4 linked regions of the Cricetulus griseus genome follow. The protein of the gene in region 1 purifies or fractionates together with the protein of each later gene. This does not show direct contact. Links are inferred from orthologs where the notes say so. Each region holds a gene or a part of one and is shown on either strand. Other genes may lie near its edges.

Region 1 (5,094 bases):
GTTTATCCTTTCTATTTATTCTCAAAGGCCACCTCCATCGTTCTCAGCATACCCAGTCATCACATAAAACACTTATTTAGTTTGTGTAGGCTTTTGAAACATTTCCTTCTGTTGATAGAGCTGAATGGAATGTGAGTGTCTTTTTTTTTTTTTTTTTTTTTTTCCCCATATTGTTTTGGAGCCTGTCCTGGAACTCACTCTGTAGACCAGGCTGGTCTTGAACTCAGAGATCTGCCTGCCTCTTCCTCCTGAGTGCGAGGAAGGTGTGTGCCACCAACGCCCGACCCTGAGTGTCTTTTATGGACTCATATTTAGAAAAGTATTTGAGTACAGGAAGTCTTGAAGGCACATTAAGGTTGCCTATATACATTTATTGTCTAGTATCACAGGATGGTGAGGTCAAAGTATGGAAGAATACCTACTTAGTATTGTATATGCCAGAGTCTGTGTGTTTGCTCACCAGGGTAACATGAGAACTAGCAAACAATACAGGTACTCTGGACCTACCTGAGACCTGCTGAATCGGTATTTTTAAAAGTTAAATCTAGACATACAATATACTTAAAATATTTTTATTATTTATGAATATGGCTGTTTTACCACATTTACTTAGTACCTGCAAAAGTCAGAGGAAGATGCCAGATGTCCTAGAACTGGGATTTCAGACAGTTGTGAGCTACCATCTAGGTGCTAGAAGTTGAATATGCATCTTCTGGAAGAGAAACCCTGGTGCTTATAGTCTTAAAATAGCCTATAAAGGAATCTGATGTAGGCAGTCCTATAAACGGCATTTAAGAACCGTTGCCTTTTATAAGAATAAATTCCAAGTGATTGATCAATTGTTATCAGCTTGGGTAAACACTCTTTTCCTAAGCTTAGATATGATGTTGTTGATGCATTCTGTTTATGTGGTTTTATGTGTATGAACATTCTGTCTACATGTATTCCTTTACACCAGAACAGAGCATCAGATCCCATTATAAATGATTACAACCACATGAGGTTGCTGGGAATTGAACTTAGGACCTCTAGAAGAGCAGCCAGTGCTGTTCTGTTCTGTTTTGTTTTCTCACAACAGGGTTTCTCTGTGTAGCTCAGGCTGTCCTGGAACCCTCTCTGTAGACTAGGCTGACCTTGAACTCAGAGATCCACCTGCCTCTGCTCTGCCTCCCCAGTGCTATGATTAAAGGCATGCACCACCACTGCCTCATTGCAGCCAATGTTCTTAACCACTGAGCCATCTATATAGCCCCAGTTGTCATGCATTTTAGACCTTGTCTACCTTAATACGTTAACAACTTTCATAGAGAGTGTCTTAACTCAATTAATGCATATTTTAAGGTGTGGAATTTGATGTCTTCCAAAACATTTTATTTTATTAATTTTATCCTTCCCCACTAAAATTTTGTTAGAATTGCAAATTATTGTGGAGTTTATACATTGATATTTGTTCTAAATCTTAATAAAAGATACGTCCAAATAATATAATCATAGCATACATAGCTTGAGAATAATTAATTGAACCTCTAGTACATGTCTGTCTGTGCATATACATATATCTTTATATAGGAATGAGCATACTTTTTTTTCTGTTCTGTTGATATATAGGAATACTACTTGGTTTTACTTTTCTGAAACCGTATAAATCTCCTACATTACTTTTTCCAGAGACTGTTCCTTATCTAAGTCATCTTTGTTTTTGAAGTTTACTAGCAGTCTCTGAGCCAAAGCATCATGGGGTTGACTTCATGGAATCACTCTGGATCCACAGTGCTAGATTCCAAAAGAAAGGGCTTTAAATATACTAAGCGTGGTAGCAGAAATCAGAAGGTTTTTTGGTTTTTTTTTTTTTTTCTCCCTTTGGTGGAAATGCAGTGATATTTTGGTGGACCCAATTAGCTTAATTGACTTGGTTATTTTTACAGGTAAATATGTCTGAGTTTCTTCCTTGTGGAATAGTAGTAAGGACCCTTTTAGACAAGGTTGCTGAAGAATTACACTAGATGACACAGAAAGCTCATAGTACATGATGGGAACTTGCCTTCCATTTCTGCATCACTGAGACCACAGATTTGGTGATTCATAAAGAATGTTGGTTTATTTAGGCTCAGTGTTCTAGAGTCCGAGAAGTCTAGAGCCTGATGCTAGTCTTGAATTATAGCATGATGGAGGATTTCACGTAGTGAGACAGCTGTGAGTCAGGGAGAGTGCTCTTTATAATCTGTGATCCACTTATTAATCTGTAAAGGGTTAATTCACTCAGGAGGCAAGCCCCTTATGACCCAGTCACTTTTGTAAGTCCTACCTTTACTGTAGGACTAGAACAAAAGCCAGTAAGAATGAACACTGATTATCTTTATCGTTCTGGCTTTTTTGTTTGTTTGTTTGGTTTGGTTTGGTTTGGTTTTTGAAGACAGGGTTTCTCTTTGTAACAGCTCTTGCTGTCCTGGAACTTACTTTGTAGACCTGGCTGGCCTCAAACTCAGTGATCCACCTGTGTCTGCCAAGTGCTGGGATTAAAGGCAGATGTCACCAACTCCCAGCAAAATTGTTGTGAGCTGGCTTGTGGGTGTTAGGAACTGAACCTGGGTTCTCTGGAAGAACAGCAGGTCCTCTTAACTGCTGAGCCATCTCTCCAGCCTCAGTAATGCTTAATTTTTATCAATGTTTATTTGTTTTTCCAACAGATAAAGTGCTAACTTGCAAATATATGAGTTTGAGAGAGACATTCAGTAATCATAGAAACACTGAATAAATTGTAGTTTTTCCTTTCACTTATATTACTTTACCTTTCACAGGGTGTCTTGTCTTTAGAAGCAATGCTGCTTGAAGGAAGCTTAGGGTTTTTTGTTGTTGTTGTTGTTGTTTTTGTTTTGTTTTGTTTTTCAAGACAGGGTTTTTCTGTGTTGCTTTGGAGGTTGTCCTGGAACTCGTTCTGTAGACCAGGCTGGCCTCAAACTCACAGAGATCTGCCTGCCTCTGCCTACTGAGTGCTAGGACTAAAGGCATGCGCTACCAATGCCCGGCGAGTCTTTTCTTTTGAATAGTCCTTTAACTTGTGGATAAGAATTTCACATTCACTTCTTACTCATTGCTCAAAGTAACTCTTGCAAATTATCCTCTGATTTCCATATGTACACACACACACACACACACACACACACACACACACACACACACACACACACGTAATATAAATAAACTGAGGCTCACAGTCATCTTATTACCCCAAACTTCATTGCATCATACTTGGGAAAACAGAGGCTTACAGTAAATTATTTCTCCAGAATGCCAAGCTGAGGTTAAACATACAGTTATATGTTTATATGAATGTACTACATGTATAGGATGATAAAATGATGATATAAAGATCAGAAATTGAGAGTTCTTAGTCCTTAGCCAGGCATTTATCTGGAGAACTGGGTGTGTGGCTCTCTGCATAGATACCAGGAACCATGTAAGCAGGCTCATATAGATGTGTTTGTAGGGTGGGTCTGTAGATCTTTACTGTTTCCCACAACTATTAGTTACAGCCCAAAAGAAGGAACTAAGAAAGAAAGGTATTTTTGGTGTCTACCTCCAGCACTCTAAGGTTTCTCTCTTTGCAGGGATGTTGGCAATGTGGTTGAAGCTATGTACGGGGACCTCCCTCCTCCAGTCATGCTGATCGGGCACAGCATGGGTGGTGCCATTGCAGTTCACACAGCATCAGCTAACCTGGTACCAAGCCTCTTAGGCCTCTGTATGATTGATGTTGTGGAAGGTAAGTTTTGGGTTCAGTAATTTATAAGAGATATTCCTGGTACATTATTACCTTGGCCATATTTGTTCTCAGTTTCACTCATCTTGAAGTATGCCTCTATGTCTTTGTGCCTTTATAAAATTATACAACCATTTTCTGTATTACCAGAAACTCTCCATTAACACCTTTTTATGGCTGTATAATATTTCTAATCATATGAATGCCTTTTAATAAAATTTTCTGACTTACCCCGAGAATCTCACTGCTCCTTGAACAAGTTAGCCATACTCACTGTGGTGTGCCACACAAGGAGTGAATCAAGAATTGCTGAGAGCCATAGTGGAAACTGTCGTGAAGCTAGATCTTTATTTTTACCCAAACATCACTGAATTCTGACATTACCAGGAACAAATACATAAGCTGACTCAGTGTGTTAGTTTTTACCACTGTGACAAAATATCTCAGTTAAGCAATCTAAAGGAGAAAAGATTCGTTTTGGTCAGATATCAGAAGTTTTGGTCCATTGCTTTAAGAATGTGTGTGTCAGAACATCACACAGAGGGAGACTAGGAAGAAACTGTGCTCCCCCAGAGCTTATCCCAGTTACCTGCTTCCTCTAAGTCGGCCCTGCCTCCAAACAGTGTGCATTCAACAATGGATTAATATATTGATAAAGTTAATGTCAATAGTGTCTTCATTATCCAACCAACTGTCAATACACCTTCAATACATAAACCTTGAGGAGGAAGAATTCTTCCTGTGTAAGCAATGCCATTCCATCATTATGAATATGAAGATAAACATGAGTATTGTTCTCTTGATGATACAGGCGTAGGCAACAGTTTGTAGGACTCCAATAGCACAAGGAATAATCTGAAAAATTAACTTCTGGATTTCCATGAAGCTAAGAAGCTTCTGTTTAGAAAAGAAACAATCACCAAAGTGAAAAAGAGATGGCCATCAGAATGGGAAAGGATCTCCGAAAGCTAGATCATACTGGGGATTAATATTTTGTGTGTGTGTGTAAATTAAAACTGTTTTGAGACTCTATTCACCCCAGTCTGGGTGAGTAGACACTTGTCATCAATAAAACAATTGATATCATGTGCTGTTAAGGATATGGGGAAAGAGGGACCCTTATTCATTACTGACTGGAATGTAAATTTGTGTAGCCACACTGTAATTCAATATGGGAGTTCCTCAAAAAATTGGAAATGCAACTACCATGTGACCCAGCTCTACCTTTTTTGGATATATACCTGGAGGACTCTAAGTCAGCATCCCAGAGATACTTACACATCTATGTTTATACTTCCGTGTTCTCACTAGCCAGGAAATGGAACTAGCATAGA
Region 2 (5,800 bases), on another chromosome or scaffold:
GCACCCCAACCTCACCAGGGAAAGGTGCACTCTAGAGAAAGGGTCATACATTTTCAGACAACCTTCTGAAAACCAGAAGTCTGCTGTAATTTGTCTGACTTCTATTAAGAAAAATCCCACTATTCTGCTGGGGAAACTCTTCTTGAGTTCAAGGCCAGCCAGGGATTGTCTCAGTGCGTGCGTGCGTGCGTGCGTGCATGCGCATGTCTCTCTCTCTCTCACACACACATACACACACACACACACACACACACCACACACACACACACACACACACACACACACACACACACACACACACACACACCCCCCCAATCCCAGGGATTGTCTCAGTGCGTGCGTGCGTGCGTGCGTGCATGCGCATGTCTCTCTCTCTCTCATACACACACATACACACACACACACACACACACACACACACACACACACACACACACACCCCAATCCCACAAACCTGCAGTATTTCTGAACAAAGAAATAATGTAACCATCCTTTTGGAGATTATCTGTCTCTAACAAAAAAGATTGTCTCAGAATGAGTACAAGGCCTTCACATTCCAAAACTTCAGAGAAGTTCTAAAATAAATTAGCAAGGTTCTATCTCAAAAAGTCCCCTAGAAAAGTGATTTATTATTATATCTTAACTGCACATATGAATCCCTGAAAGATAATATAAAGTGAATAATTTGAGCCAGCATTTTTTCAGCAAACATGTTAACCAATACTACAGTCACAAAGTAGTTAAGTTCAAAAGAACTTAAGTCTCCTCATAGAATAAAAGATTTCTGAGCTAAGTGTTCTTGGCATCTATTCCTGCTTAATTATCTAAAGACAAAACACAAACATCCAAGTCCAGTTATTTGCATGTAGAATGTATGTAACAAGGAAACCTCAATTACAGGAACCTCAGAGCACTTACTGCTCACCATTTACTTCATTAACTCAATGAAAAAATAAAACAAGACAGAAAAAGAGATGTAAAGACTTTTTCAGAAAGATGATTTTTAAAACTATTGTCCCACCTCTTGGACAACACAAAACATTCTTCAAGGCTCAGTTTAGTTCGTGTTCCTTCAGTACACAGAACTTAAGTCAACACTCAGTTGTCATGGTTAAACTTTCTTACCTTCTGCTACATCATCATCTACTGCTCCTTTCACCTGAGAAAAACACCATTGAATATCATTCCCTCCTCCAGCTCCTAGAAGAAGAAAACATAGCAATTAAAACGGAGTTCTGTTCTGTTTACTCTCATAAACACGGAGATGGTATCTGAGACTAGCATGATACTACCCACATACACAGTCACCACTGAGCCCACGAATTTGGAACCAAATAAGTTCTGACAGCTGGTAGAGCATTCAAAACAAGACTGCAGGTATGAAATATTCAAAGGCATACAGTCTATCAATCATTATCATCGTAAAGATATTCAAAACCTCATTTCCACTTTCCCTGCCCCTTGAAGACAAAGCCTTTCACGTAAGACCTACCAGAAACCAAAGTAAATACCCAAAGTTAGTTTTCCTTTAAATGTGCAAAGGGCTAAACTACCATGAAATATAGAACGAAGAGAAAACTTCGGGAACATTACTTCCTGAGAGGAGGAGTGATTCATGTGAGCCCTACCACCGAAGCATGGACACAGCAAACACAACACCCATTTCTTTGCATTCATTAGGCGCAAATCACTGGCTGCAGACACAGGAAAAGGGGTGGCAATGAATGCCTGGTCAAAGGATGGTCAAAGGATGCTGACTCTGCCTCCTTTCACCTAACCAGAGAACCCAAAGGGCCCAGAAAGAGCAACTTTGCTAATATGTCATCTCCTACAAAACAGTTCCAATTATCATTTCATTGTTCGGCAAGGTCAAAGGGCAGTTTGTTTGTATAGTAAATGGTAAATCAGCCCAACATAACTTCTTTAGAAGTCCTATTATCTATGCAAATATGGAAAAGACAAGGAAAACTGGTTTAATCTCAGACACTGCCCGGGACTGAAAAGGAAATTGGGGGGGGGGGGTGGCACGACACTCCTGGATTTCTGGGAAAGAAACTGAATCTCAATCTAGAATTACTCTACTAGCAGAAGGGCTTCAAGATCAAAATGTACAAAGATAACCGACTCTCAAAGGCTATTAACCCTCGCTTTTCCTTTACCTGTTCCTTGCTAAATTATTCTCAATCAGGGTTTCTCCGTGCTTTTCCCCCACTGCAAGCTTTTATGAAATCTCTCTCTCCTCTTTCTCTCTCTATTTATATCACTGAACTCCACAACTATTTTAACTCCGAGAAACCCTTCTGGGAAAAGGACATCTGCACGAACGATAGCGTGCAAAATGCAAAGTTTAAATTACCTGTTTCTCCCCACCTCCCACCCCAACCCTTAACAACTTCTATTAAAGGCCTAGCACTCGTGGTGACAACGACTAAGTCATGGGAGGGAGCACAGTCGCCACGAAATTCAGGCTTACACCCTCAAAATCTGACCTAGCCATAACGTGTGTGTGTGGGGGGGGGGGACATATGCCTCCATTGTATTTTAACTTGCAAAGCGCTCTTCCTTATCCGTGCAGGATATGTTTCTGCAGGAAGGCTCGCAGCAGACGAGGAAGAGTGGAATGACTATGTGCGGAGGAGCGGAGGGAGCAGGGTGCAGAGGGGACCCATCTGCACGCCGGCACCCGCCCCACCCACGCAGGCCCCCACCCCCACCGCACCCGTGCCCGAGCCCGTGCCAGGCCCAGGGCCCTGCCTGCAGGCCCCACCATCCCAGCCCAGTGCCAGGCCCGCCCGCCCGCCCCGCACTCGGCCAGCGCCCCAGGCCAAGGCCCCTCCGCCACGGTCGCTAGGGGGTGACGGAGAGCGCGCAGAGGAAGCGGCACCCTGTCAGCCGGCCGAGGGCCGTTTCTCCTTTACCTGCCATGTCGTGCAGCAAATGATGACCCTGCCGGGCTCCTCGGGGTCTCCGCGACCGGGGCTCAGCCCCCTCACCTGGGGATGGGGGGATCGAGGGCGCGGATGGAGGCGGATGGCACCTGAAGGGGGAGGGGACGGGAATCGGGGCGGAAGGGAAGCGGCTCAGGCGGAGCGGCCGGCAGGATAGAAGCTTTCACTCGGGGGCGTCCCCTCTCGTGATCCTTCTCCCCGGTGGGCAGCGGCGCGGCGGCGGCGGCGGCGGCGGCGGCGGCTACGACAGCGACGGCGGCCCGGCGGCAGGGGCAGGCGACTCCACTTTCAAAATGGCGCCCGCTGGCTGGCCGGTGACGTCACTCCAGGGGGCGGAGCGCCTTTGGGGTGGGTCGCGCTGTGTTGGTCACGCCTCCTTCCTGCCCGGCTCTCGCTCCGCCCCGCCCGCTGTGACCCTGCTCTGAGCTCTGCACCGAACTGGGGCAGTGGTTAGTTGCTCTGGCTGTGGACTATGCCAAGTTGGCCCACAGTGCCCAAGTGGGCCGGCAGCTTGGCCTGTCTGCACCTCACACTGTCCCAAAGCCTTGCACCAGGGCCGGGACTCCAGGATGGTCTCATCTGTCTACTTCTCACCCACAGGGTGAGCTGGCTCTCCCTGGAGAAGACCCTTTAGATGCTCCAGCGACACTGGGTGAGCCCCAGGGACACCAAAATAAAGGGACAGTGATGCATACTCGTTGCCTGTCCAAGGTGAGAGTTCACAGAGCCCAGAAAGACACAACTGGGCTGGTTCCATCTGGGTGAAGTAGGTTACCTTCCCATGGATGAGAGTTCTTGGCTACCGCAAACAGTTAAGAATGGCTCCCGACAGAAAGTTAAATGTGTTGTGAATGGCACAAAAAAAAAGTGACTCAGGTCTGTTCAGATAAAAGTGGTAAAATCAATGATTGAGAATCTATATTCTGCTGGCTGTGGTGACACATGCCTACAATCTCAGCAGCACTTTGTGAGGTGAATGTAAGAGGCTCCAAATTTTAAGGATACCTGAACTATATAATGAGTTTGAGGCTAGCCTGGGCTACCTATATGAGACCCTGTCTCACATACACACATCAAACAAAAAAGGAGAAGAAACTAAATCTATTTAAATGTAGCCTCTTCCAGTCAGACTTTTCTGACAGTTTCTTCCATTTCCGGCTCACCTTTAGCTAGGTTGGGTGCCCTTGTTTAATAGTGTCAAGGTAGTAGTGGTGATGCAGTCCTTTAATCACAGTACTCAAGAGGCAGAGGCAGCTGAATCCCTGTCTGAGGCCAGCCTGATCTACAGAGCTAGTTCCAGGACAGCCAAGGCTACACAGAGAAACCTTCTCTTGGGGGGTGCGGGTGGGGGTAGGAGAGATACTCTCAGGTCCAAAGGAAACTCCAAGTCTCCAAACTCCAAAAGGCAGTCCAAATATCCAGAAATGAGCTCAACCTGGACAATAGGAGGATTTCTAGCAGTTAGATAAAAGCTAGCATTCCTCAGGAACTTGTGAAGGTATTTCCCCTCTACCAAAAAAAAAAAAAAAAAAAAAAAAAAAAAAAAGAAAAAAGAAAAAAAAAAGAAAAGAAAAGAAAAGGTCATTTCCCTCATCTCTGGCAGAAAGGACATATGGCTACCTGTGGTGCCTATCAGCACATCAAAGCACATTCTGGTATCACTAGTACCTGTTACCCAATTTCAAAGTCCATGCTAGCATCCCAGCCCGTCTCACCTCCTCTCCTACTCTAAACTCCCTCCAGCTCTCAGGTTTTCCTCACCCAGATTCTCATTCTCCTTCTAACCCTGCTATTCTCACTATATACTCTATCCCCTGCTATTCTCCCCTCTCTGGCCATGTCAGTCTACTTCTTTCTCTTTCAGCTCTGGACTCTTCCAGATGCCTCTGACTTTGATCTCTCTCTCTCTCTCTCTGATATATACACACACACCTATAATAAAACCCTCCCCTTAACCATACTATGAAGTGGTCATGTTGTCAGTTTATATAGTCTCATAAAGTATAATGCACTTTTCTATTTTTTTAAACCACATTAAAATGATCTCAGTCTGTGTCTGTTATTACACTGAATTCTTTGAGGCTAGGAAGTGTGTTATTCACCTCCCTATCACCAGCAACATAATTCATGAGATTAATGAATGAATAAACAAGTCTTTCTGACTTGGGAGAAAAACCATTTAAATGCTGCCTCCTTAAGGTTTGTAAATTTTTTCACTCATCTTTTTTTAATTTTTAAAAATTAATTTTATTTTATGTGTATGAGTGTTTTGCCCGAGTGTATGTATATGCACCATGTGCATGCCTGGTGCCCTCAGAAGTCAGAAGACAGTGTCAGATCCCCCCGGACCTGGAGTTACAGATAGTTGTGAACTTCCATATGGATGCTGAGAATCAAACCCGTTCCTCTTCAGAAGAAGCAAGAACTCTTAACTGTTGAGCCAACTCTCACTCTTCTTAACTCTGGAAAGGAAGAGACATTTTATAAATCATCTTGGTGATCTCACCTACATCTATTAAACAACTGTTTGGCAAATAAGTAAATTGTCTGTAAATACATTTGCTCTAGCTACTTCAAATCTGATTACATACTATTTAAGAGATAGGTTATCCCAATAGGATAATGTTCCCTTACCTATACATGAACTTGGAAATTTTGTTTGTTTTAGTTTTGACTTTTGTTTTGAGACAGGGTCTCAATCTGGAGCCCTAGCCTACAGCCATATAGATAAGGCTGTCCTTGAACTCAGTGATCTGTCTGCCTCTGTCTCCCAGATTCTAGGGTTACAAGCAGATCACCACACTTGGCTACACACTTTTAATCATGAGAGCTGTTAGCCTAAATGTAACTCT
Region 3 (5,757 bases), on another chromosome or scaffold:
AATGAAGTAAAATGAACATAGCAGTTATGCCTTTTTGTTTGTCTTTTTTGTTTTTGTTTCTTGAGGCAAGCTTTCACTACGAAGCCTTGGCTGTCCTGAAACTTGCTATATAGCCACTTAGGGTTTTTAGCACTTACAACCACCTTGTTTTTTTGCTTTGGGAGATAAGGTCTGTTCCATGTAGCCTGGCTGTCTTGGAACTCATTACAGAGACCAAGCTGGCCTCTTCTCACAGAAATCCATTTGCCTCTACCTCTACAGTGCTGGAACTAAAGGTGTGTGCCACCACACCCCGTTAAAAGCACATTTATTTTTGTTTAAAGTTGTATCTAGCACAGAGAGTAATGGAGTATCTCAACTGACATGCTCTTTCTACAATGATCTGCTCTTCCACTTTAGAGGTGTGTGCTCTTTCACAGTATGAACTTAAATTTTCAGTGTCCGATTAGGAGGCTTTGAAGCCAAGCTATGAAACACACCATCAATCCAACATAGAGTTCACATGTATTTCTTACACTTTTGGTTGTGAGCCTAGCCTTTAACTGGGAGCTATCTCTCTAGCCCTAGAATTTACACATTACTTCTATACTAGCCTCAGGTTTTCTGATTAAAGATTAAAACAGGTACCTGCCAAAACAGGAAGCAGCTCCCCCCTCTTGCCCCTGGATTATCGTACAAACATTCTTCAGTTATAAAATAAAGCTTAACAGGTCAAAAAAATTTTTTTTACTCTTCCCAAGATGAGAGTTAAATATAGTTGTAGTCACAGAACGTTCTGGCTGGGCCAGCCTGGCTCCTCCAGCACACCATCTTTAAAAGCTGCTGTGCACACTGTCATCGCAGGAAGGAGTTCCAGAAGCTGTATTTCTGCCCACAGAAGAGTCAGACTCACAATTAACTTCAGACTCTGGGCTGCTAATTTAGATGAGCGACAGCCATTCACTTCAGAAGGCAGACACCTTTCTGTGCTGGCCCTATGGAAGCTATTTACCCTCCGACAGTGGGAAGAGCTTGACCGCCATTACCCCATACAGGGCCTTAACAGGACCACTTCAGTTACTTCCATTTCAGACAAGCTCAATTATGATAGGAATTTAATTTCTAGGGGAAAAACCTTTCTTTCTACAGAGTGCTACAGCAAACAAAATATAAAAAAAAGCATATCATTAAAAAAATTTGGTGGGCTAAGCGTGGTGGTGCTCCCCTTTAATCCCAGCACCCAGAAGGCAGAGGCAGGCAGAGTTTGAGGTCAGCCTGGTCTACATAAATGTTCCAGGGCAGCTAGGACTACATCCTGAGACCTGCTCTTCATAAAAAGTTAATAACTCTTTTAGCCCGAGAAATGGCTCAGAAGGTAAAGGTACTCGAGGCCCAAACCTGAAGACTTCAGTTCGATCCCCAGGGCTCACATAAGGTGGAAGGAGAGGACCTTCTCCTCACAGTAGGCCTCTGACCCCTCATCCGCCTGCCATGTGCACTACAAACACATTATATACATACACACATGAAAAAACTAAAAGACTAGCCAAAAGGAATTAAAGGTAGGTGATGTGCACGTCTGACTTTCTCCTACATCCTTCCTACAAGACATTCTTGCTCTGGAAAGGTAGAGTATCCACAAGACCAACTGGGAAGTAAAGTTGTTTATTTTATAACATTGCTATAAACCCCAGTAGTTTGTGTGCTGAAGGTAACAGGAAACACGAAGTTTTGGTTAGGGCCACAAAATCTCCTTTCAAGTCCAATCACCAGAAGTCTCAACACATCCATTTTACATTTCTTTCCCAAGTGGAGTGACAACTGAAACGAGCTGAAAAAGCACATAGCCTTTCTCATTCGCTAGTGTTCCCTGAGTGCTCACTTACTGTGGGGCTGCATGAGGAGCCTCTTGAGATCTTCCACCTGAAAGAAGCTAAGTATCATCCCTGCCTTAGATAGGCATCGGGTGTACTGAATTCCAACAGGCTGACTGAGACAGGATGGCTCAGCAGGTAAGACCTGTACTCTCTTACAGAGGACCAGAGTTCGGTTAGTTCCCAGGATCCCACCATCACGTGGCTCACCACCAGCCAGTTCCAGGAGATCTGACGCCTCTGAATTCCTCAGACATGAGCACCAAGCACGCAGACACATAATTAAAAATTAATAAACCTTTAAACCTATTACAAAAAGGGACTAGGGACTAAAGAAAACACACCCATCTCCCCCCACACCACAGATGGTGAAAAGGGGCATTAAGAAGCCTCTCCTACAAGCAACTCCATCCTATGCATTAGAGGAGGAAGGAATGGGTGATACTCTGTGAATTAGTGTTCATCTGCAAAGAAAACTCACTCACAGCCTAAGATGTCAGCTTAAATTCACTACATGGTGCTACGAACTGGTAATCCAGATTTTTAGAAGCCAAGGTTAAAAGAAAAACGATTTTTTTAAAAAAGCAGATTCAGAAAGCTTCCTAAGAGTTTAAGACTCAAACGTGACACTTCACAGCAGTGGAACAACCTTCTGCAAGGACGGATCCTAAAATTACTACAAAGTCAAAGGGGAACCCTGAACTGATTCAGCCACCTCTTGCTCTGTACCTTCAGTTTTGGATGTCACAATTACAATAAGGCTGACTGACTCAGCCAATTTCCAAACTGGACAGCTCGGTGACACTAGCTTGAGAGAGATCATCTAAAGGGTTAATTTTGAGAATTATGAAACTATAGGTTATCACACAAGAAAAATAAAAGTTAGCTGAGGCTAGAAGCAAACACTTTCATGGTGGGGGGAACACCATTTTCTCCACAGTTCTACTTGAAGACACTCTCCTGGGCTAAGTATTGAATACAAAAAGGACTTGGACAACACCGAACTCTTGAAAAACACTCCATGGGTTATTGCCCCCCCACCCCTAGTAAAGAGTGTTTATAAATAAGATGGACAAAATTCTTTAGTAGTATCCCGACTTCTAAGAAAAATGTATAGATTCACGCGTGAAATAATTAACTCCTTTACTCTTTTGTGGGACTCTTTAACAGGAAAATACAGGGACGAGATTTAGTCCAAATATAAAAGAGGAATGAAAAAGTAGACTTTAAAAATTCCAGCAATTAATAAATCAGTGGATACAGATTTCTGAAAGCTACGGAAACACGATCAAGAAGGTCTTTTCCCCCCCAATCCATCACCTGCAAGGTCTAAGGATGTGTGTGTGTGTGTGTGTGTGGGCTACTCGCGGTAAAAATGGAAGTAACTTTCTGTAATGTTGGAGCTTATAAATAGCACACATCCCAGTTCTCTTTGCCAGTAAACACGGATTCCAAACTCAACACCTGCTGCCTTCTTCCTGAAAAAGAAACCATCCGTCCCAAGAGCCACTCACCACCAAGACCACAGCCACCACCAGCCTCCACCGAAGTGAGCCCGGCTGAAGGGCCGCCTGCCATCACGCCCACTAGTGTGCAAACAAAAGCTTCATGCACTCCGTGGTTTTCGGAGCCCCCCTCCCCGCCCCCGTCACCCGCGAACAATCCCACGCTAACCAAGTCTCAGTGTTAACGACTTTGAGGAGAGTCGTCCGTGTCTTTAGGAGGCTGCAGCTGCCTGATCTTCGGGGGGGGGGAGAGGTCCCCGCACCCCACTCCGCACTCCAGGCGGGGCCAGGGCCCGTTTCCCCCGCGCGCGCCTCCGCGGCGGGCCGCCTACCTTCTCGCACAGCGTCCGCACTTGGTTCTCGTTCAGCTGCTTACACTCGTTCAGCTGCTCCACCCACTGGTCCAGCTCCTTGGTGAACGCCTTGTCGTCCATGGCGGCGAGCCGCGCGTCCCCGCCGCCTCCCCCGCCGCCGCCGCCGGCCCCCGGCGGGACCACCGAGCCGCGGAGCGCGCAGCCCGCGCCCCGCCCAAGCCCAGCGGGCAGCTGCGGGCCGCGGCCTCCGGGAGCTCCCGCCCCGCCCCGCCCGGCCCGGCCACGCGCCCCGGGGCGCCAAGGGCACACGGCTCGGAGCGCGCAGCGCGGCGCGGCTCGGGGGACGCTCCGGCCCGACCGCGTCCGCCCGCTGCCTCCGCCGCCGCCGCCCGCAGGCCTCTCCGCGCTCTGGCCCGGGTTCTCTCGCTCTTTCTCTTCCCTCCCTCCGGGTTTCCGTCATCGCCCCGGCATTTCCGCCGGGAAAAGGCGAGTGGGCGGGGCCGCCGGGCTCGGCTCACGAGGAGACGAGCAGCGCCCTCGCGCGGCTCGGCGGAGAAACGGTCCTCGGGGGCCCCGGGCCAGCGTCCTTCCCATTCCTCCCTCTGGGAATCCGGTTCTAGCCTTGGACCCCCGTCTGCGCCGGGGAGCTGGGAAGCTTGGGCTTTCCTCTCAACATTTCACAGTCCTAGAACAGGCACTAGATCTGTATCGAGTTAGTTTCTACTCTTAGCACTAATTAGTTGCGAGGCCCCAAATCTCGGACCCTTTCTTGTTTGTTTTTCGAGACAGGGTTTCTCTGTATCACTTTGGAGCCTGTCCTGGAACTAACTCTGAAGACCAGGCTGGCCTCGAACTCACAGGGATTCACCTGCCTCTACCTAAAGGTGTGCACCACCACCGCCCGGAGATAAAATAATGTTTTATAAAAGGATTTATTTATGTCTATGTCGCGTGTGTGCGGGTGCTTAGGGAGATCCGAAGTGGATCTTGGAGCCTCTGCAAGAGTAAACCTTTTAAACTTTTTTGGTTTTTTTGTATGTTTCCATATAGAGTTTCTGTGTATAGCTGTGGCTGTCCTGGAACTCGCTCTGTTGACCAGGCTGGCCTCGGTCTCAGAGATGCTCCTGCCTCTGCTTCCTTAGTGCTGGCATTTAAAGATATATATATATATATATATATTATATATATATATATATATATATATATATATATGGCTAGGCTTAACCCCTTAGCTAGCTAATCTCTCCAACCCATAAAGTGATTTCTAAAGTTATCTGTGGCCATTCCAGCTTGACATTCTTTGCTGTAACTGATACTTTGGTTGTAATTAGTGATTTCTTTATATAGCAGGGGCTAGCCACTGAGACCTTGTAAAACTGTGCTAAATGACCATACTTCCTCTGTCTGAACTGTGTTCAGCCTCTGCTGAACTCAAGTGGCAAACAGCACCCTTTATCACAAGGCGTGTTCCTGAGTAGGTTTTGCCACTTTCTCAGCATGGGGTAACCCCCAAACTACCTCAAGTGGCAGATTTGTCATCACTTGAAATAAACACAATCTTTGTCAGTTGTGTAAATAGAATATTTAATATCATGAGGGGGTCCTTTGTGCCAGGGCACAAGTCTGCAAGTCAGAGAAAAACTTTGTGGAGTGGGTTCTCTCCAGCTTTAGGTGGGGTCTGGGCATCACACTCAGGTTGCAAGGCTTGTACGCAAGCACTCTGACTTTTTTTTTTTTTCTTTTTCTTTCTTTTTTTTTTTTTTTTAGACAAGGTTTCTTGTATTCCAGGCTAGCTATTTGCTCTGTGATTGGGGATGACCTGACCTTGAACTAATGCTCCTGTCTCCACCTCCTACTACACCTGGCTCAAAGCTGAAATGTAAAAAGTGTCTGTTCAGTAGTTCAGCAATATATTAATTTCCTTATTTTAGAGAATGATTGCAGAATTCATCAAAAGGATGTCATCTGAACTGAATCCTAAACTTTCTCTCCAGGAAAAACCCTTTGAAGTTGCCTGAAGAAATGGAGAGAGAGAGAGAGGGAGGGAGGAAGGGAGGAAGGGAGAGAGAGAGAGAGAGAGAGAGA
Region 4 (5,094 bases), on another chromosome or scaffold:
CATGTATAAAGTATAAAGTATGAATACCCCTGAAACTCATAAAATCAGTCAATTTTTTTTCAATGATGATTATAAACATTTAAAATACTTTTGAGCCAAGCTGGGCAGTGGTGGTGCACACCTTTGATCCCAGCACTTGGGAAGCAGAGGCAGATGGATCTCTGTGAGTTTGAAGCCAGTCTTGTCTACAGATCGAGTTCCAAGACAGCCTCCAACAAACAAAAAACAAAACAACAAAAAACGGGAGGGGAGGAGATTTATGAGCCAAAATTTGGCAAACACACCTGGGTGGTGGTGGTATAGGTCTATAATCCCAGCACTTGGGAGGCAGAGGCAGGTGGATCTTTGAGTTCGAGGCCGGCCTTATCTACAAATTAAATTCCAACACAGCCAGAGCTGTTACAGAGAACCCCCCCAAAAAAACACTAGAGATACAAGAGTCAATTACCAACCAGATATAACAAAAATTAAAGAAATAACATCTATGTGGTTAAATTTAAATCTTTAAGTTGTTGTTGTTGTTGTTGTTGTTATTATTATGTGCATACCCATTATTATTATTATTATTATTATTATTATTATTATTATTATTATGTGCATACCCATTAAATCCAGTGACAATTTTCAGTATTCTTTCCTTCATTTCATCAAAGGGAATATATTCAACATTTGGATTGGGAGGACCTCTTGGTTCAGGAGCTGAAGTTCTGAAATCATCCATCACTTTCTCCAGTTTGAAAATAAAATAACCTTTAAATTGGGACCACTGAATCCTATAAAGAAAAAAAGTCAGAAAATATTAACAATTACCCTTGCAAATACTTAACACTAAATACAGACACTATAAAGATGCTCATGATTTCCATGCTATAATGCTTACACAGACTAGGAAAGTTTCCCACCATTAGAAGTATAAAATAAGCCACATCCAACACCTGAGAGATGAAGTGTCTTAGGGTTTCTATTATTGTGAAGAGACACCATGACCACAGCAACTCTTATAAAGGAAAATATTTAATTGTGGTAGCTTATTTATAGTTTAGTATATTATCATCATGGCAGGAAACAATGGTGCTGGAGAAGGAGCCCAGAGTTCTTACATCTTGGCCCACGGGCAATAGGAACTGGTCTGGGACACTGGGTATGACTTAAGCATACATAAGGCCTCAAAGCCTGTCTCCACAGTGACACACTTCCTCCAGCAAGACCACACCCAATCCAACAAGACCATTTCTCCTTATAATGCCACTTCCTATGAGCTTAAGGGAGCAAATTACATTCAATCTACCACACTAAGGCAGGAAGATCTCTGAGAGTTTAAGGTCAGTCCTGTCTACAAAGTAAGCTCTAGGCCAATCCACACAGTGGATTGGGGGGGGGGCTCCCCGCAGGACCAAACCCCGCCCCCCCCAAAAAAAACAACGAAGTTCTTTTTTTCCTGCCTTTTCAGTCACTGTCATGTGAGGTATTCACGGTACTGGTCCCAGTCTATCTGACATAGTAATAAAGTACACAAGCTACAAAGATGGCTCAATGTTTAAGGCACGCACATCTCCAGCATAAGGACAAACAAGAGTATGGATCCCCAGAATGAAGTACTAGGTAGAATCAGTGGCCTGTCTATAATTCTAGCACTTAGAAGGCAAACTGAGGCTGGGCATTGGTGGCGCACGCCTTTAATCCCAGCACTCGGGAGGCAGAGGCAGGCGAATCTCTGTTGAGTTCGAGGCCAGCTTGGTCTCCAGAGCGAGTGCCAGGATAGGCTACAAAGCAACACAGAGAAACCCTGTCTCAAAAAAAAGAAGGCAAAGATGGAAATCCCTGAAGCTGTCTGGCCAGCCAAACAAGCTGTACCAGCAAGCTCTGGGTTCAACAAAAGACTTGACCCCACTCAACAAATTATGGTGGAAAAAGAATTCCAACAGCATCCTTTGACTACAAAGATGAAAACACACACACACACACTAACATATAGACATGCACACATGAATGAGACAAAATATACAAGTAACCTATTTTTTATGTCTATTCACTGATGGGTAGTAATTTCCTCCAAAATAAAACACTAACACTGACCAGCTCACTACAACCCATCTTCCCCAAGCTCATATAAGCAGTAAGAACTGATGACTTTGTAAGTGTATAGATGTTGTCTGAAAGCTTGTATGTGAACCCCCTGGGTGCCTGCTGCCCAAGGAGGCCACAAGAGTGTGTCAGATCTCCTGAAACTGGAGTTGCAAGCAATTGTGAGGTGCCACATCGGTGCTGGGAATCAAAACCCAGGTACTCTAAAAGAACAACAGCAAGTGCTCTTAACCCCAAACACTCTTATACAAGCTGAGTAACCCAGAAGACGCCCAGATCAGCTCTGCTGCCTAAAAGATACATTCTCTGACCTGATCAGCTGGCTAAAAGTGGCAGAGTGTGTTCCATATTTCCAGGTTTTGTATCTTGCCAGGTATGCTGGGGTTGACTTTTAATGATAAAACTGCCTTAGAGTCACTTCTGCTCTTGTAATTAACACTTTATCCATACTCCTTTAAGTTAACACTAGTATAGGCTTGAATAGGAATGACCCCCATAGGCTCTGAATTTATGTGGTCATTAGGGAGTGGCATTACTTGACAGGGATTAGGAAGTGTGGATTTGTTGGAGAAGTATGTCACTGGGGGTGGGCTTTGGGGTTTCAAACACTCAAGCCAAGCCCAGTGTCTCTCTCTTCCTGCTGTCTGTGGGTCATGATATAGACGAACTCTCAGTTCCTTCTCCAGCACCCTGTCTGCCTGCTTCCTGCCAAGCTGATAATGGACTAAACCTCTAAACCATTGTAGATCAGGCTGGGTTTCGAACCCATAGAGATCTACCTGCCTCTGCCTCTAAACCAGCAGTTCTCAACCTGTGGGTTGAGACCCCTTTGGGGGAGGGGGTTCAAACAACACTTTCATAGGAATGGCCTAAGACCACTAGAGGATACAGATATTCACATTATGATTTACAACAGTAGCAAAATTAGAATTATAAAATAGCAATGAAAATAAGTTTATGGTTGGAGTGCCCACAACATGAGCACACATTAAGAAGGTTGTGAACCAGCCGGGTGGTGGTGGCGCACGCCTTTAATCCCAGCACTCAGTAGGCAGAGGCAGGCGGATCTCTGTAAGCTCAAAACAAGCCTGGTCTACAAGAGCTAGTTCCAGGACAGCCTCCAAAGCCACAGAGAAACCCTGTCTCCAAAAACCAAAAAAAGAAAAAAAAAGAAAAAAAAAAAGGTCATGAACCACTACCTAAAATGTAAGCAAGTCCTAAAATTAAAATCCTTCCTTTAAGAGTTACTGTGGTCATGGTGTCTCTTCAGAGACACTGAACATTTGACTAAAACAACCAGTAAGTATAAACTGAGCCAGTGCTCATGGAGGTGGACTTTGGTGATGTCCTTACTTTGGTCTGACAATGGTTCCTAATCAAAGGTGAGTAGAGGTTTGTTCATGTCTCTCTGGGAATAGTACCAGATCTTTTAATCCTTCCCTCACATTTTACCATTAATATAAGAAAAGATGTGAAGATGATACCTGAACAGTCTAAATTATACAAAAGTTAGGGATGACACCTATTTTCTTGTGCAGACAGTAATCTCACTAAATGTAATTACAGAAAAGAGTATTAATTTGCTACATGACTGTCTAGCATCCCTATAAACTAGGAGTATAGTTTCCAATTGTGATTCAGGAGATCAGACAATGCTGTATGGAAATGATGATAACCTAGCAGCAATCCAGAAGCTGCATCAAATCACACTAACATTACTATAAGAAATTCAGTTTTGTTTTGTTCTGTGCTTTAAATCTGGGGCTGGAGATGTAACACAGTTGGTAGAATGCTCACCTAGCATAGATGGTGTGCCCTGGGCTTGATCCCTAGCACTCTACAAATTGGGCATGGTAATGTAAAACTGTAATTAGAGCAGTTGTGAAATGGAGACAGATCATCAGAAATCCAAGATCAGCATGGGCTAACATGAGATAAAACCCTCCCCATCCTTTTCATTTTAACAACCCACAACCACCAAGGTCAAGAGCAGTTCAAAGGTCCTGAGGAAGTGCAAGTAGTGTCACAGACTGTAATTCCAGCTACTCAAGAGGCTGAGACTGGAGAATCACTTGAACCCAGTTCCAGATCAGCCTGTCTCAACATAACATTTCCTGAAGAAGTAGGAAGGTTCGTGATCAACAAAATTAGTTCATAGACTTTGGATATTAAATGGAAAATTCATGACAGATTTTTGTGCTGATACACAGAAACTACAGGATTGATGTAGGTTTAGAATTGTTGGCAGGGCAAAGAGCTTGCTGCTAAATCTGATGACCTGAGTTCAATCCCTGGAACCTACACTGTGGAGAACCAAACTCTTGCAAGTTGCCCTCTGATCTCCATGGGCCCTGTTACACATATGTCTATCACCCCACAGTTAATTTAAATTTTAAAAATGCCCCTTCATCACTGGCATGGAGGCCCTTGCCTGTAATCCTAGCAGAGGGACTCCTATCTCAAATATCTACAATGGGACTGCTTGGACCAGTCCTTCCAAAGGTCACAAAAAACCAAGAGACGATGCGGAAGCAGCCTGCACACCTGATACTGACTAAAAGTGATTTAACTATGGCTCCTACTTGCATCAGACAGAGGCATGTTTCGCCTCAAGATTGAGGTGTTAAAACAAAAGGGTGAGGAGATGTACTTGGCCTGTCTGCAGGAATGAATATACTCTAAAGGCAGTGGTTTTCAACCTTTGGGTCACAATTCCTTTGGGTGTCTGATGGCCCTTTCACAGAGATCACCTTAGATCATAGGAAAACACAGACATTTATAATTCATAACAGTAGGGCCGGGCGTGGTGTCGCACGCCTTTAATCCCAGCACTCGGGAGGCAGAGCCAGGCGGATCTCTGTGAGTTCGAGACCAGCCTGGTCTACAAGAGCTAGTTCCAGGACAGCCTCCAAAGCCACAGAGAAACCTTGTCTCAAAAAACCAAACAAACAAACAAAAATTCCTAACAGTAGCAAAATTACAGTTATGAATTAGCAACAAAATAATTTT

The links.
Region 2: the proteins of Ppme1 (region 1) and Ppp2r2a purify together in Homo sapiens (affinity purification with mass spectrometry; 3 studies listed by BioGRID and IntAct, with this or other methods). This does not show direct contact. The link is inferred for Cricetulus griseus from reciprocal best matches to the Homo sapiens genes PPME1 and PPP2R2A.
Region 3: the proteins of Ppme1 (region 1) and Ppp2cb purify together in Homo sapiens (affinity purification with mass spectrometry; 6 studies listed by BioGRID and IntAct, counting the BioPlex papers as one, with this or other methods). This does not show direct contact. The link is inferred for Cricetulus griseus from reciprocal best matches to the Homo sapiens genes PPME1 and PPP2CB.
Region 4: the proteins of Ppme1 (region 1) and Ppp4r2 purify together in Homo sapiens (affinity purification with mass spectrometry; 3 studies listed by BioGRID and IntAct, counting the BioPlex papers as one, with this or other methods). This does not show direct contact. The link is inferred for Cricetulus griseus from reciprocal best matches to the Homo sapiens genes PPME1 and PPP4R2.

The regions. Positions count from the first base shown.
Region 1 is NC_048596.1:99,184,372-99,189,465, forward strand, and holds part of Ppme1 (protein phosphatase methylesterase 1), read left to right. Parts: intron 1-3,608; coding exon 3,609-3,763; intron 3,764-5,094. UniProt on the Homo sapiens protein: Demethylates proteins that have been reversibly carboxymethylated. Demethylates PPP2CB (in vitro) and PPP2CA. Binding to PPP2CA displaces the manganese ion and inactivates the enzyme.
Region 2 is NW_023276807.1:222,050,694-222,056,493, forward strand, and holds the start of Ppp2r2a (serine/threonine-protein phosphatase 2A 55 kDa regulatory subunit B alpha isoform), read right to left. Parts: upstream 3,229-5,800; 5' UTR 2,926-3,228; coding exon 2,919-2,925; intron 1,201-2,918; coding exon 1,126-1,200; intron 1-1,125. UniProt on the Homo sapiens protein: Substrate-recognition subunit of protein phosphatase 2A (PP2A) that plays a key role in cell cycle by controlling mitosis entry and exit. Involved in chromosome clustering during late mitosis by mediating dephosphorylation of MKI67.
Region 3 is NW_023276807.1:51,187,901-51,193,657, forward strand, and holds the start of Ppp2cb (serine/threonine-protein phosphatase 2A catalytic subunit beta isoform), read right to left. Parts: upstream 3,852-5,757; 5' UTR 3,793-3,851; coding exon 3,691-3,792; intron 1-3,690.
Region 4 is NC_048601.1:43,126,803-43,131,896, forward strand, and holds part of Ppp4r2 (serine/threonine-protein phosphatase 4 regulatory subunit 2), read right to left. Parts: intron 774-5,094; coding exon 603-773; intron 1-602. UniProt on the Homo sapiens protein: Regulatory subunit of serine/threonine-protein phosphatase 4 (PP4). May regulate the activity of PPP4C at centrosomal microtubule organizing centers.